Canis lupus familiaris: one gene and its partners. The protein of the gene in region 4 purifies or fractionates together with the protein of the main gene of each other region. This does not show direct contact. Links are inferred from orthologs where the notes say so. Each region holds a gene or a part of one and is shown on either strand. Other genes may lie near its edges.

Region 1 (3,500 bases), on a different chromosome or scaffold from region 4:
GGTTACTTGGTGTTGAGGACAGGGGCAATACAAAATATGGAGGAAACAAAGCTAAGAAAACTGAAGATGTAATTCAGTTGTGTCGTCAGAAAAAAACAAAGCCACGGGTGGCCCAGTTGGCTCAGCGGTTTAGCGCTGCCTTCAGCCTGGGCCAAATCCTGGACCAGGGATCGAGTCCCACGTTGGGCTCCCTGCATGGAGCCTGCTTCTCCTTCTGCCTGTGTTTCTGCCTCTCTCTCTCTCTCTCTCTCTCTCTCTCTCTCTCTGTGTGTGACTATCATAAATAAAAAAAAAAAAAAAAAAAAAAGAATTATAAATAACTAGTACCTAGTGTGATAATTCAGAGATTTTTCCTGCTTTTAATGGGAATATTTTATAAGTACTCTAAATTCAGGCAGAATTTGTTTTAAGAACAGCGGTTGGATAACATCACAGAAAAAAGATTCAATGAAGTTCTCATCAAGATGACATCAGATTGTAGTCTCTCCCAACTAGCTCTGGACCCTAACAGTCAGTACCTGAGGATGCCAGGTCACAAGGAGAGACTACTTTGTCTTGAGCCCAGAAGCACCAAGCCCTGCCACAGGCTCTATTAAGGAAACTGGTGCTGGGCCCCCAGTTTAATGGGATTATTAGATGAGCTTGAGTGAGCTTGCTGAATACCAAATACAGAAAGGGCAAAGGCAGCTCTGATGAGAATTGTCCTTGAACACGGAAAAGCATAGCCAACACCGAGGCTTTGGAACATGTTTCATATAGCCGCACACAAATCACCCATCTGCAATCAGTGCCAGCTGGACAGCCCCAAGCCAAAACTTACTCTGAAGAATCATGGGCCCATGCAAACTCCTGGGCAGATCCAAAGCTCTTGTTTCTCAACGCCATTGCTGTGTAGATAATATACTCACCATCGCCACACACCACAACAAACCTGCAAATTATGGAAGACAGGGAGAGAAGTAGGATCAGTGACATGTGGAAGTTATGAAACAATGCTTCATCTTCATAATAAAATACTTCTAATAACAAATGCTACTTCAGCTGACTGTTATTATTGAATCTGGTATCTTTTAAAGTTATGCATTTCTTCAAATACAGAGCTACCCATACATATTCTATCCAAAAACATACTATGAAGATGAGGTTTTGCTAAAAACTTTCTTGCAGTGGCCTTCTCATATAGACAAAAGAGACTTGAGGCAGAAAGAATGGCTGGAGATGCACAGGGGCCAGGATTCTAATAATTCAGCAGATTTGGGGGTGGGAGGCAGGAGGGCAGGAGAGGGAGAATCTTCAGCAGACTCCATGCCCAATATAGAGCCCGACTTGGGCCCAGTCTCACAACCCTGAGATCGTGACCTGAGCCAAAGTCCAAAGTCAGACACTTAACTGACCGAGCCACCCAGTCACCCCTCAACTGATATTTGTTGAGCACCAAGATGAGTAGCACTTTATTCATTACATTTATACCATAAGAAGGTGCTACTTTGTTGCAAGATTATCTTAATTTTAAAGCATATCACTGGAATGAATAAAAATACTCATTTTTAATGACTGTTAAGTTCATCAAAATAAACAGAATATTTTAACATTTAATTAGTGAAAATAGAATATTGTATATAGTCAAGTGAAATTTTCTCAAGATATAAAACTCTCTGTAAAATATTGTATTAGCTGCTATTAGACTGCCAATGGTAAAATGCAAAACTTAGAACAAAAAAAAGTGTTTTTTATGATATCAAGGGAAAAAAATTTAATGCGTTTTTCATCTTCCTAAGAAAATTATATTACAAGTAACGATGGATACCATTTACTGAACAAGGCAGCACACTTGGTTTACAGTTCATCTTTTTCAATACCCAGCACAGAATTATAAGACACCCAGATCTATTGTAAAGTAACTTTTAAAGGCGCACAGGTTTAAACCTATGCTTCAAACTCTTTTACAAGATGTTCGGTGCTTTCTAAATCATAAGAAATGAAAATGATGGTTCAAGTATAGATAAGAAGCAGAATTATTACCATTCCCTCAATTTTTTCAAAGGACACATACTTCAGAGTCAGCTTTTCTTCCTAAGTTAGCAAATTTTTAGAGCACCTAAGGAGTCTCAGGAGAAGACATGGTATCTGCCCTTGAAGGAGCACAAAGACACAAACCCCACACATTTAAAATGAATAAATACAAAGTATTTAACTGTTCAAAATTGTGTGGTGGGACAGAGCCAGGAAGGTAAATATGCTTACATCCTGCATGCCAACTTGATCGATGGACATGCTCCCTGCCAACTGGGTTGAGGGTTGAGGATTGTTAGGCTAGGTAGGGCAAAGCTCATCAGGAATGCCCACCACAGAGTAAGAGTGGTATACACTATGGATATGCAAACACTGCTCTAACATACACAGAAGCTCAGAGGGAGATTCCGGTTATGGCTTACCGTCCATTAGGATTGTGCTGAATAGTCTGGGGATATATTTCACAACTGCCCATGTCCTTGACTGCTAATGGCAGTCTTTCTCCATCTTTAATTTCAGCATCTCCCATTGCTTTTAGGTTGGCCTGCTGGACTTCTGAATGCTTGGCCCAAATTATCTTTCCATTGGCATCCATGGACATGGCAGGTTCCTCCCGACCAAGCTGGAAGAATGATAAAACCACAAAATAAACATTTCTATTTTCACTTAACAGAAGGCTTCTTTTTTCCACTTTAAATCTCCAGTACTGGGATCCCTGGATGGCGCAGCGGTTTGGCGCCTGCCTTTGGCCCAGGGCGCGATCCTGGAGACCCGGGATCGAATCCCACGTCGGGCTCCCGGTGCATGGAGCCTGCTTCTCCCTCTGCCTGTGTCTCTGCCTCTCTCTCTCTCTCTCTGTGACTATCATAAATAAATAAATACCTTAAAAATTAAAAAATAAATAAATAAATAAATCTCCAGTACTTACTCTCTTATGCTTAATGAAAGAAGAGCCAGTTTAATAAAAGTGGTGGCTTAGAAGATGATTGTACTAAAATACAAGGAAAACTTCTTCCACTATGTTCATTTATTCAGAGAGTATAATTAGAGATTACCTTCACAATGATGCTCCCTTCATCATAGCCCAAAGCAACATTGTTGGACCCTCTCAGACTGGCCACACACCACACCCTCTCCATTCCATAATTCAATGTGCTCTCAAGGCGGTACGTGCTGGAATGCCAAATACGCACGGTTCCTAAAAAGAACAATGTGAATGCTCCCTTTTAATCTGAACATCTAACAATGAACTGTGTTGGGTGAACCGGCCACAGGGAAGTCTTTATTAGTTTCCTGGTAGCTTAATTTTTTGACCTATAGTCTAGTCTGTAGGTGATTTTATAAAGCAACATAAATAAGTGAAGAAAATTTTAAGAAACTAAGAAATGTGATTTTCCATGTAAAATAATGAATTTCCTAGGTACACTGCCTACTATATACCTGCAGATGCTTTACACACATGTGATCTTTTCTTTTCACTATAATCC
Region 2 (3,494 bases), on a different chromosome or scaffold from region 4:
TCATGTCCCAATATGTCCCTTTTATACAGTTTTGCTGTGTGAGAATCAGTAAACAGTTCCCGCATTTAAAGATTTTCTTAAAGGTCACCACCACTCAAGTTCCCACTGTGACTTCATTAAGGATACAAGAACAGAGGGAAAGCAGTTTGGCTCGATTATTGATCAACTTCACCAAACGCCGTCTTGCTAGAACATATTTCTGGGCAGTAGAGATTTTCTCAACACCAACAGGCATCACAGACTGACACAACTGAGAATCAGAAACAAACGCAGGATTAGCGATTACATAAACTAACAGAAACTTCATGAAGAGAGGGTCACTTATGACAGGCCCTGCAAAAAAACAAAGAAGTTTAAACATTCCTGCAGATGAGAGTTATCATCTGGTTAGGAAGCTGGTAACTTTATAAAACCGAGAGCCAAAGTAGTGGAATTCACAAATGAAGACTCCTCTGCCGATTTCTGCAAAAGGTCTTATCTCTGTAACAGATGTTTCCAATCTGCTGAGGGGCCGACCAACCCTGAATCTCTTGTCAAACTAAAACAAAATTCAACAGTAGGTTTTTCAGGCCGTGGGTCTAACAACGCCATGGAGATTTTCTGTAACAGCTGTCATGTATCTTCTGAAGAAAATGTAAAAGCCGATTTCTACAGCATTAACTAAAATAGGCTCATCAACCAGAACCTCCTTTCATCACACCTCTGTTTGGCATAAGCACTGCGGTCCGATTCAAAATTCAGCTGCTGGGTTGGACAGAAGGCAAACTGAAGTGGGGCTGGGAGGGCACCGCACACTTGCCAGGAAGGCTGCCGTTTCTCTGGCGAGTGCTGGTGTCACCCGTAAGCTACGCGTGTTGGGGAAGGGCTGCCAGATGTAAAGCCCCCCACTTCAGGGATTACTAGAACCTCATCAGTAACTCCCGCCTCAGGACCTGCTAGCTGTGTGGCTTTGGGTAAATTATTCAAACTTCCAGGGCCTCCACTTCCTCATCTGAGAAAATAGGAGTGGCTACACTATCTGCCTCATGTATTGCAACAGAACTTGTCTGGCACATCAGAAACACCCACCAACTGCTCCCTATGATTGCTGGAAGCAGGCAAGAGGGAGGAGGTTTTGACTACTCTGAAGAGTAATGCGGAGCTTTTCAGGACAGTTGGTGCAAAGGAGGAATGGCAAAATGGCTCCACATCTAGGCTGCCACGGGCCACCAGGGAGCTTCAGCACCGGCCAGGGTATGCCTTGTGTCATTCAGCTGTGCCGGATGGGAGAGAAAGTGGCTACTTAGGATGTAAGCCTAGCGACTCAGTATCTTTAGCTACAATATCGGTGAATGATTCTGGGTCACTGAGGGCAGGCAGTCAAGTCTTATATGCTATCCCATTTGTCTGAAAAATTCTCTAAACAGATACTGAAGATGCTGAAGACACAGAGACCTCTTACTTAAGGGATCACTTCTACTGAATAAGCATCTGCAACAGAAACCCAGGTTTCTCAGCACAGATTTCAGAGTATGAATTACCAAAACTCTACTTCAAAAGCCAGCTGCCGTTCTACTGAAGGGTAGCAGGTGGTGTTCCTGAACAGATGCACTTCACCATCTTCCATTCAAGTGTTGCCCTGATTACCAGGTGTGGTGCTACGGGGAGGACTCTTCTTCAAACCACACAGAGGCATCATTTCAAGCCCTTTTATCACTGCATACATCATCTTTACACACAAGTCGGACACCAATATTTTGGTCATTAGGAAAAGCAAGGATTCTCCAAAATCTCCATGGCTCATTATAAGATTCATACCTCTTTTATCTCATCTGGTGGAAGCTGCTCTACATTCTGTAGCTTGTTGACACTCCGTCGGTGACTGTCATAATAGCTGAAGAAATCATTAGCGCTCTGTTTCAGCAGGTAGACAATAATGCCCAAACCTGGCAGGCGCCAATATGGAATCACTGGAGCTTGGGTATCTAATAGAGTTGATAATAAAAACAGAATGTTCCACTTACAAGAATATTAAATGAATTTCAAATGACCTGTTTTAAAACAAGGGATGCCCAGAACTGAAGGGCATGTAAACTATTATTAAAACCAACCCACAACTACTTTTAAATACTTCTGACAGTTCAGAGGAGTGGTGAAGTGCCATGGTGATCTGGGACTCAAATCTAGGCAGTTCATCATCAGTCTCTGTTCTTAACTGCTAGCTTAAACTGCTTCTCTACAAATGAATATTCCTGAATCTACCACAAACCCACCCCCTCCTGTGTCTACGACTGGCAAAGGTTAAGTTTGCTGATTAAATCTTTAAAGAGTCTAAGGAAGAATAAAGACCAATATATATTAGGCTTCATAAAGTTCATCAAGTATTAAAGATCGGAGAATGGCCTAGTATGTGAAAGACAGGCTCAAAGTGAAAAGAAAGCAAGTGAAATTTTAATTGTTAGTGATGATTATTAATGTTTTTGAAGAATAAATGACAAAACTATAATTTCATTTGAAAATGTTATGATCAGGCTCAACTTAACTTGTTTTAAAATGTTAGATTCGGGGCAGCCCCAGTGGCTCAGCGCTTTAGCGCTGCCTTCAGCCCAGGGCATGATCCTGGAGACCCGGGATCAACTCCCATATCAGGCTCCTGGCATGGAGCCTGCTTCTCCCTCTGCCTGTGTCTCTGCCTCTCTCTCTCTGTCTCTCATGAATAAATAAATAAAATCTTAAAAAAAAAAAAAAAAAGATTCAAGGGGGAAGAACGGAGCCCCTTGGACACTTTATAATGGAGTTGCACAGAGTTGTTAGTTCCTGGCACCATTTACATGAAACAGTGGTTAGATACTGTTAAACTAATATACTTTAATAACACCATCCTACTAAATCTTTTATGTGATTAAGCAATTTTCAGGGAAAATAAGATCTTGAAGATGAAAATGTGACAAAATGATTTGCAGAAAAATCACAGAGCAAGCACCACTAACATCCGAATAGACTGTCTTCTGAGGGTCCCATGGGATAACAGCTTTCATCAACCCACAACCCTCACATTCCAGATCTCACCTACTGGGTCCTTAGGAAATCACAGACTATGTCAGTTTACTTAGCATCCACACTTTACTTTGCTGTGATACAGAAATTTGGAGCTATACTACGAGACCCAATTCAGACACTACCTTCAGCTTAACATGATCTTACGCATAAACCGTCTGTTATGTTTGTACATTTTTCACCCAGCTAGTTTACTTGCCCATCTTAGATACTTTCTTTGGGGTCTCAAATACTATTCAAACCCAAAGCTCTTTGAAATTTATCCTTAGAAAATCTTGAATTTCTCTGTCCTCTTGAGCTCTCTAACCTATCCACAGGACTGACACCAGTACCTCCTTACTGATCTTTCTTAAAGTCATTGACAAATTTTCCCACTAATTACACATAAAGAAAAGAGCTGCATTTCACTGGAGCCATCTAGAGCTTATTTTAATCACAGCAACTTAATCCTCAATTAC
Region 3 (3,998 bases), about 4.8 Mb from region 4:
GACATGTTCTACTCTTGTGCAGTTACCAAGGACCACTTTACTGCGATCAGGATTCCAACGACCACCTAATTTCGTATCTTTCAACTCTTTTCGACCAGGACCTCTTATTCGGAAGCGTTACAGGAAGACAGCTCTCAACTTAGGGATCAGATCACGTTATCAACGCTCTGGGATCGCTGCAACCTGGCACTTCAAGTAAGTGCACCGATTACGTCTAGACCGGCAAACACAGATCTAGAGGTGGCCAATTGATCACTGTAGGAGCTGACTGGCAAAGTCAACCAGGCCCAACCAAGAGTGACCAAGACAACGATTAGGATAACCCACAGGCACTCCTCGTCATAAGGCCAACGACACAGATAGGCTGGCAAATAAAGGGTTTAATATTTGGTTAAAATTGATTTTAAAAAACAAGAAAAAATATCCTCAAAACATTAAACATTTGATCACTAATATTAAAACTTGAAAATATCCCCCAATTACATTTAACTAAAAATTTAAAATTACAATTAAATCCATTAATTTAATTAAATATAAAATTACTTTTAATAAAACATAATAAAACATTAACTACCCATTAATTTTTAAAAAGCCACATTAAAATAGCTCAAAACTGTGTTTCAACAAACCTGCCAGCTGACTCTTGAAGATAAATTCTCAACTATAAGCCGATTTTCTGTTCTTACAGGTGGAGCATTTCTGAGGAAGAAAATGAGTACTCACAATGGAAGAAATGCAGCAGTATGTACCTACTGTGTTCGACTGTGGGCAAGTTCAAGCAATCAGAAAGAACAAGTCATTCGAATGACTTCCATCAAGCTTCTGAATTACTTATACAACTTACTACACACGTTAATCAGGAACAGTGGACCAACATAAGAATAATAGAAATGATTACACGGTAAGTTTCAGAGTCACCTATTTATTGCTAATGGTTCTTAAGCATTAAAAACTCCTCCTGCAGTAATGATTGTTCAAAGCAACCATACACCATCCATCACATACCGTCTATCATTTCGAGGTCTGCGACTACTAAAACGGTCAGAATAGCGTCCTCTACCTCGTCCACCTCGAGACCGAGCCCTAGCATGTTCAATAGTAACCCTACAGGGAGGGGGGGGGAAAAAAAAAAAGCTTTATTATCCACCCAGTCCACGTGAGATCTACTTTGAAATAACCTAGCTGACATAGTCTATCTTACAGTCCTAAATAGTTACACAAAACTAACTTTCTCACCTTTCACTGCAGAGTTCTTTTCCATCAAGTTCATATACAGCATCATCCGCATCCCTGGGATCCTCAAATTCCTAATACGTAAACATGAAAAAACAGTGCTTAACGTGGCTCTAAAGCGTGTTCTACAACATACTAAAAATCACTAAAAGCGTGTGGCAGGATTGAGTATCTTAAGAACAGTGCCACGTACACAAGTTGAACTGAGAAGTGATCAGGAGTGGTTTCCCTCCAACAGCGAGGTTCTTTTATCCCTTAAAAATACTCTACCTGAACTTCAGTGGAAATCAAGACACTACTTATCAAGATCTTTACCGACTTAACAGTAGTTCTAAACCACCAACGGTCAATACTTACCACAAACCCAAAGCCTCTTTTCAGATCAATATCTCTTATTCGTCCATACCCCTTGAAGAATCTTTCCACGTCTTTCTCCCTGGCCGCTGGATTTAGCCTCCCGATGAATACTCGACAGCCGCTCATGGTGTCCGGCTATTATTTTCTGTTACAAAATAATTCAATCGAGACAATACCAGTGAATGTCGAAAGAATGCCTGGTCAAGGGGTCAAAAACATAAACGGCATAAAATAAAATGTTTACCCGGTGATGTTATAAACAAGATTGCCAAGAGTGCCTCTTATTAGGCCAGGTCCCTTGCAGACAAAATTAAAACTCGGCTCCCAACACGATCCTTCCCTGGGCCCAGACCGCAGCAACCGCAACGCCCACTGCCGCCTCTGGAACTGCGCAGCCGCACTCTCTCCCCGGCTCTTCTGGCCCCCTCCCATCTGCCGCAGTTAGGAAAGGCCGAGAAGTGCGGGCGGAGCCGACCCCGCCCTTCGCAAGGCCAGCCCAATGGCGACTGGCCGCGCGCGCGTCGCCGCCTCCCAGGAACGTCACAGCGGGTGGAAGCCGGAATCTCGCGACGCCACCGCCGCGCCTGCGCAGACGGCGGCGGGCGGACGCTGGCAGCCACAAAATGGCGGCGGCGGAGCCAGCGGTGGGGACAGCCGCGCGTGCCAAACGCCCTTCTCCCTTCTCCCTCCCCCCTCCCCGGACTCCACAGTTCCGGAGTCATGTGCCCGCCCGCAGAAGGCCCTGACCGCACCCCGAGCAAAGGTCTCGGCCCGATACTCGGGGGGGTTCGGGTAGTGAAGAGGTAAGGAGACGGGGAGGGGCACACTACCCCTGTGTAGCAACCACCAGAACCAGGACCGCCCTTCCACCTTCGGTTCCCCCTCAAACGACACCCAAAGGGAGACGTGCCCCAGCGCCCACCTCGAATAAACTGCGCTCATTGGACGCCGTCCTCCGCAAAGAGAGCAGCCCTGGCCACTCGCGATCTGAGCGGCCATGAAGAAGCCTCGATCCGAGAAGCCTTTCCCTCAAAGTGAGCCACTCACCTACCGGACAGGATCTTTGGCAGCTGAGACCAGAGAGGTCCGTAGTCTGCGACGGAGCTGTCTGCCTCCCCGCAGACCCGGACTAAAATCGTCTACGCCTCTCCACAACTGACGCACTTAGCTGCTCCTGCCTTCCACAAAATGGAGGGCGCGCCCCTGCGTCACTTCCGGGACCGCCCCTGGGCCCTCCCCGTAGGACCCGGGGAGGGAAATTTCCGCGGGGCCGGAAGTTTACGCGGGGCCGGGGCTCCTTCACGGGGACCGCCGCGGCGACCTGCACCCGCGAGGGGCGGGGCCGAGGGGCGGGGATTGGCGTCTGGTGCGGCCGTCAGGTGCCCGGCGCTGGAAGGGCCGAGGTTGGTGTTTGCTGCAAGTAGGCCGCCAAGTGCTGTTCGTCACTGATAACGCTAGAGCAGATGACACTCCTTTTTTTTAGCTGAATATTTTTTTGAGACACCCCGAAGAGTAGTACTGGGTGAAGGAAGCTCGGGCTTTGCAAAAATGCTTGGCCCTCTCTGACCCCTTGCTTCTTGCGGTCGTGCCACGGCCCTGTGCTTTATACTAAGAAGACTGAAGAACTGCAGTATTTTTTTAAAATGGAAGGTTCCTGCTTAGATAATAAATAAATACATAAATAAATAATTCTTGCATGATGAAATGCTTGAAATTGGGACTGCAGCTAGCAGGCCATCTGGAATTGAAGCCAGAATGCAGATTTCTGTCCTGGAGCTGAGCTGGTTGCAAGAGGTTTCAAACTACTTTAAAAGTCCGGGTGGTGTTTGGTTAACCCTCCCCGGTCACGGTTCTGTACTGTAACGCATAAAAGTATACCATTCCTCAGCGACAAAAAGACCGTGTTTTCAAAATGAGGGTGAAACAGCCTTCCGCATCCTTGACGCCGCATTTCCTAGCAAGGTAGCAATTCAGGCGTAAAGAATGATTGTGAAAAGCTTCCTTTTCTTGAATGCTCTTAGGAGGACTCCAAGGCACCCCATTTTTCAGAGGTACCTATAGCGTCTAGGGTTGCTGCTTGCAACTAAAATTACACAGAGATAAAGTAGTTCAAGAAGCAGCAGTGCTACTGACCCTTACTCTGACCTCCCAGCCCTTAGAAATTCTAGGTTAGAATTTGGATAGTTTGTATGGAATGAGCTTGTCCATTTATACATTTTTTAAAAAAAGATTTTATTTATTTGGGAGAGCGCACAAGGGAGGACAGGCTGAAGGAAAGGTAGAAGCAGATCCCCCACTGAGCAGGGAGCTTGGGCTGGATCTCAGGATCATGAACTGAGCCACCCAGGTGCCCCTACACATTTGTTTATTTTAGGTGGAGCCACAGTAGGTACAGCAAAATTGTGAAT
Region 4 (3,500 bases):
TTTTTTTCTCACCTGTCCAGAACGAGGTCTGGAGCAAAGATGAGCTTGCCCGGGTGGTCAATGGAGCGCCACATGAGGCCCACCATTAGCACCTCCATCCAGCAGCTCTCCAGGAGGCGCACTTGGTCATAGAGGCTGAGCTCCACAAAGCCTGGGGAAAGCAAGAGGCCATGAGACATACCCACTCTCCTCCTCAACTCCCCGTTTCTGTGAAAACAGAAGAGCAAGTTTTAACAAACTATGAAAACACAAACGATATAGGGAAAACACTCAACATTTTAAAGATGTGGTTCAATGCTGATGAAGGATGGAAATTTTAAATTCAAAGTATGCAATTCACAATGTCCAGCCTTGGATGCCTCCTAGAGACTAATACATTCCATTCAGGATTTATAAAGGACTGTTACCTGGGCTTATAGCTCCCCAGACAAATGCTATGGGAGAACAGAAAGCTGGAACAGATCATCTTTAGTTATATTTTTAAAATTCCTATGAATTGCTGAGAAAAATAATCAGCTGCCAGCTTAAGGCTGCCTGTTTGGCCCACAATAGAGGCTGGGGGGCGGGGGGGGGCAGAGAGGGATGGGCTCGGAGTGGGGGGAATGGAATGGAGGGTGTTATGGGCTGGGGGATGAAGAGGGTGGAACATGCAGAGAGAACAGCACCAGCCCCTGCAGAAAGTCAAGGTTTCAAATGAAAAATACCTCTGATTGCTTAAAGTTTCAGGGTTAGAATCATTCTTCTGAATAGGAGCGCTATCTCTAGGCTATTCTATCCTGAAAAGCAAATCTAACAATCGAAGCAGGTCCCAGTAGTCTGATAGCCTGGATGGATTGGTCCAAAAATTGGAAAGAAACAGGTCATCTCTAGGGAGGTGAGCACCTTAAAAGCAAAGTAAGGCAGAGATCACTGGAGCTTTACCCACAAACCATGATAAAACAGAAGGCAGTGTAATATAAAACTAATCAAACACGTGGCCCAGGAGTGCACTGGACTCTGGTTAGGATCCCGGCTCAGCCTCCTAGCCAATTATTCAATCCCTGTTTAAGTTGATTTCCTTACAGAAAAAAAGTGAGAGTGACAATGCCTACCCTCTGGGAATGTCCTGCAGGTAGCATCTCTCAGGATCCTCATTTTTACAGATGAGGAGACCAGGACACAGGAAGCACATGTGGTTCAAGCCTGAGAACAATATAATGCCAGAGGGTACAAAGGAAAGCTGAAAGGAGTAATGAATGGGAAGATGGCTCAGTCCTTTTCCAAAGCTGCCCCTTGGCCTCATATGTGTACACGTTCCAACCTTGCCTGCAGTTCCAGACAAGAAGCCTGCCCATGGGAGATTAGGTTTCTTATATTTGCAGATATTTAACAAGATCAAGATAGGTGGTACTTTATTATTTTTTTAATTTGGGAAATTAAATTATACCCGCTAAGAGAGAGGGGGGAAAAAGCACACCTTTAGACTATTTTCTGAAAAAAATGTTAAAACACCAGGCTTGAAGAGGGACTAATGCAGCTCAAGAATTCAGTTTGGTTATAGCACAAAGAAGCTGCATGGCTTTCAAAGTCATCAATTTCATCACCACGTGGGGTCCTGAAAAACAGTGTTTGGCATATACATTAGAGCAACAGCTCAAGGAATGTGTCGGTATTGTCTCCTACAAAAAGAGCAGAGAAAATAACATGATTCTGGCTAAGGTGAAGATCCAGACTATCAAAACAAAACTAGAAACCAGAAGATCCTCAGGAAGCTCAGAAGGAACAGGTTCAAGCCACCAAATGACCCAAGAGATACTATTCTACCAGGCCTGGGGTCCCACCGCTCTTTATCCACAGCTCTCATCCAGCTTTCCAGCGGCTCCCAGGCTGTATACCCTGTCTAAAGCAGCTGCTGCCCCAAGGCCATGGGGATTGTCCCTAGTGGCCTAGAACCTGGAGAGAGACCTAATTTCTTAGATGATTGTAAATATGTGCCTGGAGAAGCCCTTTCAGGAGGATGGGTTGGTGCCATTCTGTGTTAGAATTCTAGATTCCTTTTCACAGAAACACCAATTCAAATGATAACTAGATGGTAATTTTAGCACAACGCAGTATCTCAGGCATATATTACAAACTGGCCTGTGGAAGGGACATAGAAGGGAAAATGCAGGTGCTAAATGACAACTGTTGTTGAACAACCAAATGCATTTTTAACACAATGGCATTCTGGGTTTATGGATGATTCATGCTATCCCAGCTGCTGACTCACTCTATTTGCCCATGTATATTCATTTATATCCATAATACTGATTCTTTCTCTATTGAAATGATATTTTATACATTTCTATTTCACATGTGGCAAATCTCTCACTTGCATACTGGTCATATGACACCCTACCCCACCTTCACCTGCACACACCCCTCCTCTCAAGGTGCAGAGTCCACAGCCAAGAGACAGCTCAATGTGGAGTCCAGACTCCATCATTTTAGACCATGTTCCGGGTCCCAGGACCCTAGAATTTTTTTGCCCAAATGGTCCCAAGCCCACTCCCAGAGCTGAGTGGGCTTCTTCTTGGGTCCACCCTCTCAGACCACATCTCGGCATAAGAGGTGTCCAACAGGCTAGTGTGTATAGGAGATGTGGACACGGAAGATGGGGTGTGAACAAGGCACTGTGGGATAGTTCTGGCGTGGGAAAAAGAGGAGTCCAAAAATTCTAAATTGGAGCGTGACCTTCCAGTACATGTTGAAGGCATACAAGTCAAGATAGGAAGAAAGAATATATTTCATTTAAAGATTATAAATCAGGATGTAAAGCTGTTACACACCCAGATATCATTTGTGGATATCCATTTTGTACTCTTGCCCTATAGATGTCAGGGGCAGCAGGCCTTTCTACCATAAATGAAAAGCTATGATCCAGAAAGCCCTACCTGGAATTTTCTTGGCCCAGCCAATCATATGCACGAGTTCCTTGTCGGCCAGCTTGGTCAGGGACATCATCATGGAGGCCTCGGTGAAGGGCGTGCTGGGGCGGCTCACAAGCACGTGGGGCGGCTCGGCCTCCAGGAGCGTGAGCACCAGCTGCTCCGGGCTCAGGGCGCTCAGCAGCAGCTCCTTCACTCGGGTCACGTGGCCACCATTTTTCTTGGCTTTGCTCAGGCAGTGCAGCTGCTCATCGGAACTCTTCTGCCTTCGCATAACACGGTACCCACACCTTTCTCTCCGGGAGCCTAAACCGGAAAGATGATAACAGTATTTTCCTGTGGCTTCCCCAACCCAATATTCAAGTTCCCTGGATTGGGAGGGCAAGAGTGAGGTAATGACTTCACTGTAAGACCTGAGTCTATCCTCACAATGTATCTCAGAACAGAAGCCTGACTTATTCTTGGAACCTGCAGGGCACGTACCAAAGATTATTACATCTGTGACTATTTTAACAAAATCAAAACATGAATTTTTAGGAACAATAGCTTAGATGAACTTAAGGTCTCCCATTTCAAGATCATCTATGACACTAA
Region 5 (4,085 bases), on a different chromosome or scaffold from region 4:
TCTCTCTCTCTCTCTCTCTCTGTGTCTGTCTTGAATAAATAAATAAAATCTTTTTAAAAAAGAATCAGTAGGTGTATTATAAATATCTGCCGAATGACTGAATGAAAACTACTCCTGAATGTGTACATCCAGGATTATTCTCAGAGCTTTACGTTCATTATCTTGTGGAATCATTACAACTCTATAAAACAGGTATTATCATAATCCTCAATATATTTTCTATAGTCCTTTTCTAGGACATTAAGGCCCAAAATGGTTAAGCTCAGAATCATATCACCTGGCTTGGTACAGTAGGAATAATAAATATAAAACCTAAGCATTAAAATCAAAGCTTGAAAAACATCACTATTATACTCCTCCCCCTTAAAAAAAAAGTAAAATATCTGGGATTTGTCCAAGATTTTGTACTGTATTTTTGGAGGGACATAAAGACCGCTGAACAAATCTAAACATGTTTTAACATTAATACTTGTTAAATTCAAATCAATGTTGATAATCTATTATGTGCTTAGCTGGTCTAGTACCTCATGAATAAAACAGAAATATATGTCATAATCCTTGTCCTCAAGAAGTTTTACATATCATCACCTTAATCAAACACTATATACTTTTAAATTGAGTGAATTTTAAGAAATTAACTATACTTTCCAAAAAGTACTTCACTGAATGTTATGTATTTCTTTTCCAGGAAACAAATCTGAGGAAAATCAAAATAGCTTACTTGGTTCAGTAAGTAAAGAATCTTTGTAAGAATATGCAAACATCTTCTTGGATTGATGGGTGTTTCATTGAATATGCGAGCCTGTGGGAACGAAAAACATTTTTAAACAGCATGTTTTCTGTCATTTCTATCATATTACAAAAGATCAACTTTAATCAAATAGACTATTACATATTTTGATCACAACATCCACATAATGTTAGTTGCTTACAGTTTTCAATTTATCACAGTATACGATACACTTTGGTCTTTATATTCCGTCTATACTAACTCCTTCCCTTACATCTAGTACTTCAACTTTATGGGCGTTATGTGTGTTAAGAATCGTAATATTTATCTATATCATCTGAATATAATTAGCTTAATATCTTTAACTTCCTTCAGTAACCTTGTGCTAAACATCTCTTTGGCATTTTACTTAAAATTATCAACATGTGGCAGAGTGTCTACACAGTTTTGCGTTTCTGTAAGCTCTAGACCCTCCTATGGTAAGTTAACCCCTCTTCCTCTTCCCTCAGGTCTGTATTTTCCGAACACAATTATTACATCCTTCAATTCTTATTTCGGGTCATCATATTCCGGAGGCTCTCTGCCCACCATTCCAAAATGGAATAGAAAGAAAGAACACAATATACTTCCAAGTCATACCTCCTGTAAGACAGCACTCTTCTCCAGATGCCGAAAAGGATTGGAGCCACTACCTATATCATAAACAAAAAATGTCTTCAATAGCTGTCCAAGACAAACTTACTGTCTACAGAAGGGTACTGAATGCTTGGGATATCTCACCTAGATGAAGCGACCACTTGGATAGCACAGTGACAAGCGTTACTAATACACATATGAACTGAATAAAATCATATGGATTCTGGTACTAGCTGTCGTTGCTAGTTACTGAGGATCTTGCACTTCTCTTTTGCACGATCCCTGCCCAAAAAGAGTGTCTTCTTTCCTTGTCCTCTTTTTATGGGACTGTTGCGAGCCTATGTTATGTTCACACAGCTAAGATTAATGAGACTGTGGTAGGACCCTTTTGGATTTCCCTGAAAGACAAGCGCTATCTTCCATGTTTCCAACAATTACTTCGAGGCAGAAAAGAGTTTATAGCCAAGAATGCTGTCAAGCTGGAAGGGGCCATGGAGATTTACTAAACCCAAACGTCCACCACACCATGGGAGAGCCGAACCAAACACTGAGGGCTTGTGCTTTGGGAGTTGGGGGGTTGGGCGGGGGGGGGGTGTTTTTAGGTGGCTTGGCATCTTCCCCACTCGCTCTGGATCAAAGTTGGGTCTCGAGAACGCCACTCGAGCATCCTCCGTACCGTGGGCCAGTCGTAATCCCCTGGGAGGCGGACACAGCTAAGGTCCTCGGGCAGGCTGGAAGGGCCAAGGCGCTTCCAGGTTCATACACGCGCGCGCGCGCACACACACGCGCACACCCACGCGCACACACACGCGCACACTCGGTCCCGGCGGACCACCTCCGGCGCCCCCAGCGCGCGTGCACCCGCCCCTCGCCGCGCCGCGGGCCCGCCTCCTCGGCCTGGAGCACCCCCCGCCCCCCCCCGCGGCGCGGCGGAGGCGGAGGCGGAGGCGGAGGCGGAGGCGGCTCCGAGGGGCTGCGCCCGGGGGCGGGCGCGGGGGCGGGGGCGGGCGCGGGGCGCGCGACCCGAGGGGAGGCTCCGAGGCCGGGGGAGGGGCTAGGGGCAGGCCCCGGGCTGCAGCCGAGCGGAGCCGAGCGGGGCCGAGCGGGGCCGAGCGGAGCCGAGCGGGGCCGGCGGAGGGAGGGAGGGAGGGAGGGAGAGAGGGAGGGGCGGGCTCCAGCTCCGGCCCCCTGGCGCACCGGGCGCCCACGCCTGCGGGTCCGCGGCCCCCGGGAGCAGGTGGCGGCGGGCGGGGAAGGGGCCCCGCGGCCGAGGGTGGGCGTCGGCAGCCCAGCGCGTACCAGACTCCTCGTCCTTCTTGTCGAATTTTTTAATCATCTTGGACGACTTCCCAGCGCCCAGACCCACCGCAACCGTCCAGGCGCCGCAGCCGCGAGCGGAAGAGGCTGCAGGAAGGCCGGCCCCGCGCCCCGGCGCCGGTTGGGTCGCCGTCCCGTCACTCGGGGAGAAGGCCCGCCCTCCCGGCTGTGGCGGCCGCGCCCGTCCCCCGGGGCCGCGGCCACGCCCTCGCCCCGCCCGCAGCCGCGCGGAGGCGGGGCCGGCGCTGGGCCCCCGGGGTGCGTCGCGGCCCCTGCGGGGCGGGGCGGGGCGGGGCGGGGGCCCACGGGGGGGGCGCGGGGCGGGGGGGCGCGGGGCGGGGGCCCACGGGGGGTCGCGGGGCGGGGGGGCGCGGGGCGGGGGCCCACGGGGGGGCGGGGGCGCGGGGCGGGGGCCCACGGGGGGGCGCACCCGCCGGCCGGCGAGCCGCAGCGCCAGCCCGGAGCGAGCACAATGCGGTTTTATTTGGTCTGCGCGCCCTGGACGGCGCCTGGTGCGGCCCCCGAGCCTGGGGAGGCGGCGGCGGCCGGGAGGGTCGCCTTCACTGGAGGGCAGCGGCCTTCCTGACGATCCGCTGCGGGGCCCTTCCGTCGCGGCGGGCGCGCTCCCCGGGCACAGGGCTGGCGGGTTCCTGGTTCGGGAGCGAGGAAAGGCTCGGCGGTGCGCGGGCCGCCTCGGAGGTCGGCACGTCACTCCCTGACTTGGCGACTGCAACAAAGCACGGGGCCCCCTGGTCAGGGTGGGTTTCCAGAGGGTCGAGAAGGACGCTCAGTGGGAGGCAGGAAAGAGACCCGCTTGGAGGGACGGAACAAGAGGGCAAATGTTGGACCACGGACTACCGCGCCCAAGCTTCTTCACACTTCTGGATTCCTTCCGTTCATCAAAACCCTGCCAGTTCAGAGAGGCTTCCCGGTGTCATCCCACCCCTTTCCAACGATCCCACCTGCAAGCACGTTGACACTTAGAGAACTCTCAATAAGGCGCATTCATACTCCTCGTAGCCTTCTCCTAAAGTGTGTGTGGCTTTCAGGTTCTCCCGTCTGAGAGTGTAACTAAGAAACTGTTTCTACCTTTGGCTTCAGTGTCATCACTTGATCCAGATTCTCTTTTAACCTCTGCCTGTACTTGGAAGCTTCCACCGTGGGCTCTTCTTGCTTCCATCCCTCCACACTTTTTTGATGCATTATGTCTTGCCAATATCTCTTGAATCTGTTTGCTCCTTCCTACTGCCATCACCTTGGTTCAAGCCCTACCGTCTATCTCTTCCAGGGCCCCCTAATCAGCCCCCATCTACAACATTCTCTGGGTAATCTTTCTTTCTTTGGTTGCCTGGCAAACGTGGAACGTGACTGGCTATTGGCAGAACGAGGGTTTGCTGGCAGT
Region 6 (4,124 bases), on a different chromosome or scaffold from region 4:
TGCAGCAGTTTCAGGATCATCCCTGGAGAGGGTAAGGGTCAATACTGTCTGGTAATTATTTGATAATGATTTGTTTACTTCACAGTGCCTGACTCAAGTAAAGTGCTCAGTAAACATTTGCCATATGGAGGGGGAAAAAAGCTTTATTTCAAGTCGGGGAGATGAAAATTAAAGAAGCAAGGAGGAATCACTGTTTACCATCTTATTGAAAAAAAAATACCTAATGCTAGTTGAAAAGGGGGCACTTTCATACATCAATGATGGAGTGTGATTGCCACAGCCTTCCTGGAAAGCTATGTGGAAATATCTTTTAAAATTTAAGATGTACACACACTTTGCAGCAATAAACTCACAACTTTCCTACAGAAATAAAAGCAATGTAAGTACCTAAGAATTATTACAGGATGTTTACTAAACATTTTATTAATGGTTAGAAAATGGAAACAAAATAAATGGCCATCAACTATTAGCACTGACATAGATGCATGCTTATGATAAAAAGAACGTAAAGACAGAGAAGGATACATAGATTCTGGAGGTTGAGAGAGGGAGAGAAAATTAGTAGCCCCTTCCCCCATACACACACACAGTGTCAGCAATTAAAACATTCCATACGCTATAGCTAACTAAGCATATATAGGGAAAATATACTCAAAAGAGATGCATGAAAAAAATAAAAACTTCCAACGTATTCTGTAATAAAAAAGTAGTAAAGAGCACTTGGATACCTCAGTCATTTAAACATCTATCTGACTCTTGGTTTCAGCTCAGGTCATGATCTCAGGATCCTGGGAATGAGCCCTGAGTAGGGCTCCCCACTGAGCCAGGAGAATGCTTAGGCTTCCGCTTCTCCTTCTACCTTTGCCTCTCCCCATGCTTGTGCACTTGCGCACACACACTCTCTCTCTCACAAATAAACAAATAAAATCTTTAAAAAAAAAATAAAAAGAATGAATGAAAAATAAGTGATGGATAAAAGAATAGATGGACTGGTCGATTTAGGTTAAAATATAAAAACGATGTTTAAAAATACACAGTATTCCTTTTTTCAATAGTTTTTATATCATAATATTTGGCCTCTATACAATATTTGGTACTTGTTTATCACTTTGCCTACTTAAAACATTCACTTGTTTTCCATGACACCACACTGGTTTCCCCCGTTTCTTTGGCACTTCATTCTCAATCTCTGGGAGGCTCTTCTTCGCCGTTGTCCTTCAGGGCCCTGTCCCTCTACTCATTCCAATTCGGTACACCATCATTAGGTGTTTGAATTCACTTCCAAGGCCTCGATTACCATCTACAAGTTGACAGAGGGCTTGTAGAGAAGTTCTTCTTGAACTATAAGCTTGTCAATCTTTGGGCCTACTGGAAATCTCCACGTGGACAACCCAATTATTACTGTATAATAACTATAATTATATCCAAAACTAAGCTCGTTTTCTTCCCTCTCAAAACTTTCCCCTCCTTTCGAGATCCCAAGTCAGCATCACCAAAACAGCTGTGAAGCTAGAATACTGGCTTCTCACCGCCCTCGGGGGAGTAAAGGAAATGTACAAGTTCTGGTCTCCATCTCTCCGGAGAACAGGCGTTGGGGGAAATTAAGAAAACAGAAGCCGCACAGATGCAAGGCACTTTTAAGGCCGCTATGAATCCTATCCACTGTGTGACTTTATCCACTGAGTCTTCCAGCCCACTGCAGGAGTCCAGTCCTTCACCTCCTCGGGTGAATGGACCGCAGGGCGAGCGGGGAGCTCCAGACCCTACACACCTGGGCACCGACTCCCCTTAGCTCCGCAGACAACTCAAGGAAGGGGGTCGCTCTAGGTCCGTCTGCAGAACACTTCCTCCCTCACTGCACCCTGCAAAACCCAGAAACCACCTCGAGTGGCCGCTGCAAACCAACACCCACTCCTCCTCTCTCAACCACAGGCCTCTCCGAAACACCCCAGACCCTTTTCAGTCCCGGCCCGGGCGCACGCGAGACGCCAGGAGAAAGCAGCGGCGCCGGCTCCACATCCTCGCGCTACACGGACCCGTGCATCCACTTCTGCCTCACCTGAGATCCGGTACCTGTCTGCAACTCCGCAGCTGCGGCTTTCCAGACGCCTTGTTTCTGGGAGAGGCTAACCCTACCTCCGAGAAAGAGTCGGCAGGAAAGTGCGGCGTAGCAGGACACACAGGGAGCCGCCATGTTGGCCGCCGGAGGGCCAGGCGGGAGGGCGAGGGGGCGGGGCCTCAGGGCTGCGCAGGCGCCGGAGGGAGCTAGGTTCCGGGGGCTGTCGGGAAGGGGCGGGGGCGTGTCCCGCGGTCGGGGCGGCTCGTCGCTGGTTGGGTGTGTGAGTCCGCGGGGCGGGCCCGACTCCGCCCCCTGGCGCTCCGCGGCGCCCTCTCGGCCCCTGTCTCCTCCTGCGGGTGCTGAAGCCTGTCCTCGTCCAGGTCTTAGTAACGACTCTCCCGTGGGCCTTCCTTCCCTTGCCGGGTGCTGCACGTCCAACTGCAGAACCCGCGCCGCCCGCCCGCCCGACTCCTGCGGTCTGACTTCGCGCGCCCCGAGCGACGCTGCGCTCCTTGCTCACCGAGGAACGGACTCCAAACCTTGGCTCCTGTGCGTCTTTCAGCGACGGGTCTCCGCTTCTCTCTGCCTTTCCACAGTTTCCAGGAGCCAGGGTCTGCACCCCCTCCAGCAGCCTTCCCGGCGCTCACATGTCCCTCGTGTATCAGTGTAACGCACAGGCTACACCACTCACAGGTGAGAATGAAACAGTCTTACCAGGTTTGCATGCCTCCTCCCGTGTGTTAGCGCCCAGACTTAGCTGAAACCCGATCAGAATTAAATGCACCGTCACGAAATAGAAACGAGTATAGCTTGGTTTCTGAGCCTTGTGTGCTCTTGAGAGGAACTCCCAAGGTGCTGTCTACAAAATCCACTTTAAGTGATGCACTAAGCCGCTCTGAAAGGATTTCCAAACACTTAGAATTGAAGGATAAGTGAAATTAAAACACAAATACAAAGTTGTCAAGCAAATGAATACACCAGCATTTCTTAAAACACATTTAGTCATTAAAAAGGTAGAGATGACATATTCCCAGAAAAAAAAAAAAAGAAAGAAAAAGGGTTCCTTTAAATGGAATTCACTTCGTTGTACTGAAAAGCTCATTCTGTTGTTCTGTCACTTATCTTTTAGGCTAGTAAAACTTTCATCAGAGATTGGCATAGGTTCTCGGACCAGCATTTGGGAACCAAAACTTTATAGCCCATCAAAATAGATGCCTTTAGGGGCGCCTGGGTGGCTCAGTTGGTTGGACGTTGGCTCAGGTCATGATCTCAGGATTTTGGGATGGAGCCCCACATCAGGCTCCTTGCTCAGCGGGGAGCCTGCTTCTCCCTCTCCCTCTGCCTGCCTCTCCCTCTGCTTGTGTTTTCTCTTCTGTGTGTCAAATGAATAAATAAAATCTTAAAAAAAATAAAATAGATGCCTTTAAAAAGTGGTTCCTATACATTGTCACAAAAATGTTTTTAACTTAATTGTGGAAATTTAAATGGAAAACAACCAAATAAGTATGTGAAAGTGGGATTTTTACTATTTCTTTTTAAAAAAATGACATGTTGGAATATATAAGAACTAAGTAAGTTCTGAAATTAAGGTTAGGAATTTTGGAGGTTTTTCTTTTTTCCTTTTCTCTAAAATTCATGTTACAGGCTTTTACTAGATTACAGTAAAACGAGTGTAATATATTTCCTACCTCTAGGGGCAACACTTGGACGGCTGCATGAAATTTCCTGTGTAGACTTTGAGTTTGGAAAAAATATACCACTATAGGTTGGCATTAGGTACATAATCTGAAGTCAGGAGGAAAGATTGGAATCAAGAACATGCTGATAGACATTTAAAATATGAGAAAAATTTACTTTTACCAAAAAGCCACAGCTTAGACTCATTTTATTTTCCTCTCATTTACTGAGCACCTGTTATGTCAGAGACATCAGGTCTCCTAGGCAGGAGGATCATAAAATCCCCAAAGTCCAATACGGTAGAGTGACATCTAATGTGAGAGTTTGGTTCTAAGGTCAGCCTTTTGGGTAAATATCAGGAGAGTCAAAATGTTGAACTAACAACAAG
Region 7 (4,225 bases), about 36 Mb from region 4:
TATCAAGGAATCCCTCCTCCTGGGAACCAAGAGGAAGTTTTTCAAAACTAGAAGGGTGCTCCCCGCCATCCCTCCCAGTATCAATCTAGCTTTGGAGATATTCTATTAGTGACATATGCCCTTGCCCCAAAACAACAAGTGTTCTGTGTGCTAACAACATAGCTTTTTTAAAAAATAAAATTCTGCATTTTTATAAAAATTGATAAAGTAATATCTCAAACTGTAAAGTCACCAGAAGTACACCGTTATCAAAAATGCACACACTTCATCTGGCATCTCTGAAACCCCTGATTCTTATTCACAGGAGGTCAGAGAAGGGAAACCTATCCCAGGGCCCTTGTAGACTTACCCACTGCAATCCTCTTGCTATAGTCACACAAGGTCCTGAAGTTGTGCCACCTGTTCAGGGTGAAATACAGGAAGAAAAAAAAAAAAAAAACAGTCAAATACATATGCCCACCAATCGCCATAGCTAGAGAAGACCCCCACACACACAACAGGCTCTACCCTATACTTCCCCTCCCCGTACCCTTTGCCCTGTATAGCAGCAAAAGGAGACATACCACATCCATGTCTTCTCCTCTCCACTATACTCCTCTGTATGTGTACTTGGTGCATTCTCAATTATATCATCTCTCAGGTCCTCTGGAGCCACCAAGGGTACCCGCATCCAGAACTGCATGTGAACAAGTACCCTATTTAGAACTCTATTTTGAACTCATTGGGTCCAGAAAGCTTCCTTCAATTATCTTGATCCAGATTGCAAGTTAACCCTTTTATATGTTTTTCCCAAGTTCTGATTATATGTACATATAAACTTATCTTGTGTATATCCATATGTAAATATCTGCCCTGTCCTTTATTGCAGCCATAAGTTTCTAGAAATAATTGTACATTCTATGTTTTCTAACCCTCTGCTTACCACTTTTAGATGGTGGTGGCCAGTACTGACATTTCAGTTCTGCCAACTGCACCGTTTACTGAATGGCTAGGAACAAGAAGGTACCTAGCACAGCTTGACTACCATAATATTCAGCAGAAAAAGAAGCCCTCAAGCCATACCATGGACGAGTGGTGGCCAGTGTGGATGTGGTTGGTCAAAACCCTGGCCAAGTTTGTGTTATCTTCCTGATTTAGGGGCAACAGGAAAGCTGGAAGACCCAAATATGCCCCAAAATTCAGCTCCTGTAACATTGCCTGGAAATGGAGATCAAGAAGACATGAAGAGTTAGCAACCCAAATAGGTTTAATTGCATTATATTAGATTTACTAAGTTATGGGAGGAAAAAAACTGCTCTCTGCACCCAGCTAGGTTATGGACCTGATCTCTAGAAAGAGCCAGTGAAGTCAAACAGTCTTACCGCCTCAGAGTTCCTGCGGATCTTCTCCACTTTTGAGTCTGGACGAATCCATGGAGAAAGCTTTCCCACAATTAGCGTATTCCAGTCTGCACTCCCCCCATCCAAGAAAGACAAAACTATATGAGGTTCAGTGCTTTACTTGTTCAATTTCTAATTCTTAACAGGGAATAGAGAGTAGAGATGAGAAACAAAGACTTTTTCTATCACAGATGTGGGATAGCCTGATGCAGAATAGAGTAAGGCTTTTTAGCAGGTAAGCAAGGAGAAAACAAGAGTTATCTATGTCCCAGGACTAACCAATATATCCAAGTCAGGAAAGGAGGAGAATGAGGGCACTGTTAAAGCAGAAGTTGTTATTGCCTCTAATAATTAAGGGGCATATGGGATGGTCCCTACCCCTTCCTGACAGCAGTAGGTCTGATCGTGTCTGGGGGCCCGGCCGATTCTTAGCAGGTTCCTGAGTGAACTCCCTCTTGAAACGCGGGTGGAAGACAGGCATGCAGAGGAAATCAAACCTACAACCGCGACAGACCCAGAATCGTCATGTAAAGAGAGCAGCAGTGCCCAGAGATCCAAGCAACTGGATTAGGCTATCTCAATTCTGCACAACCCTTTCTGCTGCCATCAGTCACCCGACTGGACTGCTGAGTTCAGCCTGCCTTGGGGCATGTTACTTCCGCTGCACTGTGCCTCAGTTTCTCCCCAAAACACAAGCATGGAAAAGGAAAAAAGATAAAAATCCACGCCAAGTGGCTTTTCTACTCTGTTGTCACCGGTTTTCCAAGACTGTCACATCCAGATTTGCCTCAGTACCGCCCATGCTTCCCCCCAAGGTTTCTCTTCTCTCCCTAGCCCCTAACACTCTCTCCCATTCTCAGACTATAATCCCGCTCTCCAGGGCCCTGGAGGTCTGTAGTCCTCTTTTTGAGTTTACCTGACAACTCCCCTGACTTTGGGGCTCAGTGGCCACACGCCCCAGCAAGTTTTTTTGTTTGTTTTTCTTTGTTTGTTTGTTTGTTTGTTTCACGCTCCAGGGCCTAAGGCTTCCCCATCCTCCCCCAAGGAGTAATGGTTTCTCCCGCCCTAATCTTACCCACTCCGACCCCCTCACCCCTGCCTTTCGGGGATGACTAGTCTGTCCCTCTTCGTCCCCGAGTTCGGAGCCCGCATTCCGCTTGCGGAGGTCTGGACCCTCACCCCTGCTTGGCCACAGCCCCCAAAGTGTCAGCTATTTCGGGCACGCAGTTCAGGTCCCTCCCGCTGGACACGCGGCTCCCACCGGCACCTCCGACCGCCATCGCCGCCATCTTTTCCCTCGCGCCGTCCACGCCGGGATGCCTTGATATTAGCAGCCAATCACAAAGCCAGAAAAAAGCCCCCGGAAGGCGGAATGAGTCGTCCTAACAACCAGAGCGTCTGCCACTGCTCCAGAGCGGGAGGCCGAGGGGTGGGGAGTGGCTCTTTCCGCCAATCCGCTGGCTGCGCCCGTGACGTACGACGTGGCTCCGTAAGATCCACCAATCTCGGGATGTAGTTTTCGACGAACTTCAATCTCCCATGATGCGCCTGTGTTCGTAGAACTCCGTTGGGGGACTACGCGTCCCATGAAACCCTGCAGCATAAGCTTGAACTATCATCACTGAGCCGAGAGCAATTGTCTCCGGGCCAGTGGCGCAATGGATAACGCGTCTGACTACGGATCAGAAGATTCCAGGTTCGACTCCTGGCTGGCTCGAGTGAGACCGGTGGTTTCCTTATTGCACCTCACGCAACATGGCCTTAGATAGCGTCTTTTAGGTCTACCCCTTTCCTTACACTTTGGGAAGTTTGCTTCGTAACTTTTCACACCTTCATTTTTCAAGTCTTATTTTGGTTGAGTTCTGCAGCCATCTTATGTCGGCTTTTCCTGTTACCTAATTCAGAGATGGTTCTTGTGTCACTGCTCGGGTCCGTCTAAACTGAGAGAACTGAGTTAATGGCTGCTGCTCTTAAAATGGGCTTTGTATGGACCTTAGTGTATTTACAAATAGATTATGACAACTAAGCCACTAATTCCTCAGGTTCTATATCTCAGACACAAAAGGTACACACGCGCGCGCGCGCACACACAACACTCATGGTGAGGAGTCATGAACTGCCTGGAGGAGGGCTGGGAAAACATATCTACATTCTTGTAGAGGCGTGGAACGGAAGGAGAGGAATGAAGCAAGGAAAAACACGGAGAGAAAGGGAATACCTGGAAGCAGGCAGCCCAGAGGTGTTGAGGGCCTGGCAGCGGGGATCGAAAGAGAACACATTACAGAAGGCCCGAAGAAAGCGGCATTGACAGAACTGAGGGGCTGCTAGGCAGGGAGCCACAAGAAAGAGGAGTCTCGGTTCTGGCCTCTCTGTGAGTGAAACAAGAAAGAAAAGTGGGTTAAGGGACAATCAGTTCGGCTTGCAAATGCTGAATTAATTGGACGCCTAGGGGGCGCTGTGTAATAGAGAGTTGGATGAACAGTGTTATGACCTGATGAGATTTGGAAATGGCCAGAAGAGAGGTAGCGACCTCGAAGTAAAGAGTGACCTAGACTGAATGAGATCATCCGGGCCAGTCAGGGACAAGGTCCTTGGAAACACGGAAACGGTGTGGATAGGATAAGAGCCCTGGGTGCAATGTAAGAGCTCCAGAAGGATGAAAGTCCAAAAAGCCAAACAACGAAGAAAATGCTTATGAAGCCTAATGGGGTTGTCTCATCTTAATCTTCAGTTGATTTTTGCAGATATTACTACAACAACAACTATTATTACTAGACTTTATTTCTTAAAACAGTTTTAGATTTACAGAAAAACTGCAGGTAGAATGCGGAGTTTCCATCTGCCTC

The links.
Region 1: the proteins of ESR2 (region 4) and COPB2 purify together in Homo sapiens (affinity purification with mass spectrometry; 3 studies listed by BioGRID and IntAct, with this or other methods). This does not show direct contact. The link is inferred for Canis lupus familiaris from reciprocal best matches to the Homo sapiens genes ESR2 and COPB2.
Region 2: the proteins of ESR2 (region 4) and NUP205 purify together in Homo sapiens (affinity purification with mass spectrometry; 3 studies listed by BioGRID and IntAct, with this or other methods). This does not show direct contact. The link is inferred for Canis lupus familiaris from reciprocal best matches to the Homo sapiens genes ESR2 and NUP205.
Region 3: the proteins of ESR2 (region 4) and SRSF5 purify together in Homo sapiens (affinity purification with mass spectrometry; 3 studies listed by BioGRID and IntAct, with this or other methods). This does not show direct contact. The link is inferred for Canis lupus familiaris from reciprocal best matches to the Homo sapiens genes ESR2 and SRSF5.
Region 5: the proteins of ESR2 (region 4) and COPG2 purify together in Homo sapiens (affinity purification with mass spectrometry; 3 studies listed by BioGRID and IntAct, with this or other methods). This does not show direct contact. The link is inferred for Canis lupus familiaris from reciprocal best matches to the Homo sapiens genes ESR2 and COPG2.
Region 6: the proteins of ESR2 (region 4) and MRPS9 purify together in Homo sapiens (affinity purification with mass spectrometry; 3 studies listed by BioGRID and IntAct, with this or other methods). This does not show direct contact. The link is inferred for Canis lupus familiaris from reciprocal best matches to the Homo sapiens genes ESR2 and MRPS9.
Region 7: the proteins of ESR2 (region 4) and PRMT5 purify together in Homo sapiens (affinity purification with mass spectrometry; 3 studies listed by BioGRID and IntAct, with this or other methods). This does not show direct contact. The link is inferred for Canis lupus familiaris from reciprocal best matches to the Homo sapiens genes ESR2 and PRMT5.

The regions. Positions count from the first base shown.
Region 1 is NC_049244.1:36,080,286-36,083,785, forward strand, and holds part of COPB2 (coatomer subunit beta'), read right to left. Parts: intron 3,212-3,500; coding exon 3,069-3,211; intron 2,636-3,068; coding exon 2,436-2,635; intron 932-2,435; coding exon 821-931; intron 1-820. UniProt on the Homo sapiens protein: The coatomer is a cytosolic protein complex that binds to dilysine motifs and reversibly associates with Golgi non-clathrin-coated vesicles, which further mediate biosynthetic protein transport from the ER, via the Golgi up to the trans Golgi network.
Region 2 is NC_049237.1:12,272,354-12,275,847, forward strand, and holds part of NUP205 (nuclear pore complex protein Nup205), read right to left. Parts: intron 1,965-3,494; coding exon 1,798-1,964; intron 251-1,797; coding exon 127-250; intron 1-126. UniProt on the Homo sapiens protein: Plays a role in the nuclear pore complex (NPC) assembly and/or maintenance. May anchor NUP62 and other nucleoporins, but not NUP153 and TPR, to the NPC.
Region 3 is NC_049229.1:43,788,910-43,792,907, reverse strand, and holds the start of SRSF5 (serine/arginine-rich splicing factor 5), read right to left. Parts: upstream 2,801-3,998; 5' UTR 2,642-2,800; exon of another isoform or gene 2,513-2,641; intron 1,888-2,512; exon of another isoform or gene 1,835-1,887; intron 1,736-1,834; 5' UTR 1,717-1,735; coding exon 1,591-1,716; intron 1,308-1,590; coding exon 1,237-1,307; intron 1,105-1,236; coding exon 1,006-1,104; intron 700-1,005; coding exon 630-699; intron 1-629. UniProt on the Homo sapiens protein: Plays a role in constitutive splicing and can modulate the selection of alternative splice sites.
Region 4 is NC_049229.1:38,955,645-38,959,144, forward strand, and holds part of ESR2 (estrogen receptor beta), read right to left. Parts: intron 3,213-3,500; coding exon 2,913-3,212; intron 152-2,912; coding exon 13-151; intron 1-12.
Region 5 is NC_049235.1:6,177,851-6,181,935, reverse strand, and holds the start of COPG2 (coatomer subunit gamma-2), read right to left. Parts: upstream 2,801-4,085; 5' UTR 2,703-2,800; coding exon 2,666-2,702; intron 1,423-2,665; coding exon 1,370-1,422; intron 1,142-1,369; exon of another isoform or gene 933-1,141; intron 803-932; coding exon 722-802; intron 1-721. Other genes in the region: TSGA13 (testis-specific gene 13 protein), read right to left, coding at 3,244-3,410. UniProt on the Homo sapiens protein: The coatomer is a cytosolic protein complex that binds to dilysine motifs and reversibly associates with Golgi non-clathrin-coated vesicles, which further mediate biosynthetic protein transport from the ER, via the Golgi up to the trans Golgi network.
Region 6 is NC_049231.1:39,419,176-39,423,299, forward strand, and holds the start of MRPS9 (28S ribosomal protein S9, mitochondrial), read right to left. Parts: upstream 2,801-4,124; 5' UTR 2,195-2,800; coding exon 2,060-2,194; intron 1-2,059.
Region 7 is NC_049229.1:3,377,654-3,381,878, forward strand, and holds the start of PRMT5 (protein arginine N-methyltransferase 5), read right to left. Parts: upstream 2,801-4,225; 5' UTR 2,669-2,800; coding exon 2,559-2,668; exon of another isoform or gene 2,532-2,558; coding exon of another isoform or gene 2,473-2,531; intron 1,877-2,472; coding exon 1,758-1,876; intron 1,478-1,757; coding exon 1,362-1,477; intron 1,198-1,361; coding exon 1,063-1,197; intron 677-1,062; coding exon 564-676; intron 400-563; coding exon 350-399; intron 1-349. UniProt on the Homo sapiens protein: Arginine methyltransferase that can both catalyze the formation of omega-N monomethylarginine (MMA) and symmetrical dimethylarginine (sDMA), with a preference for the formation of MMA.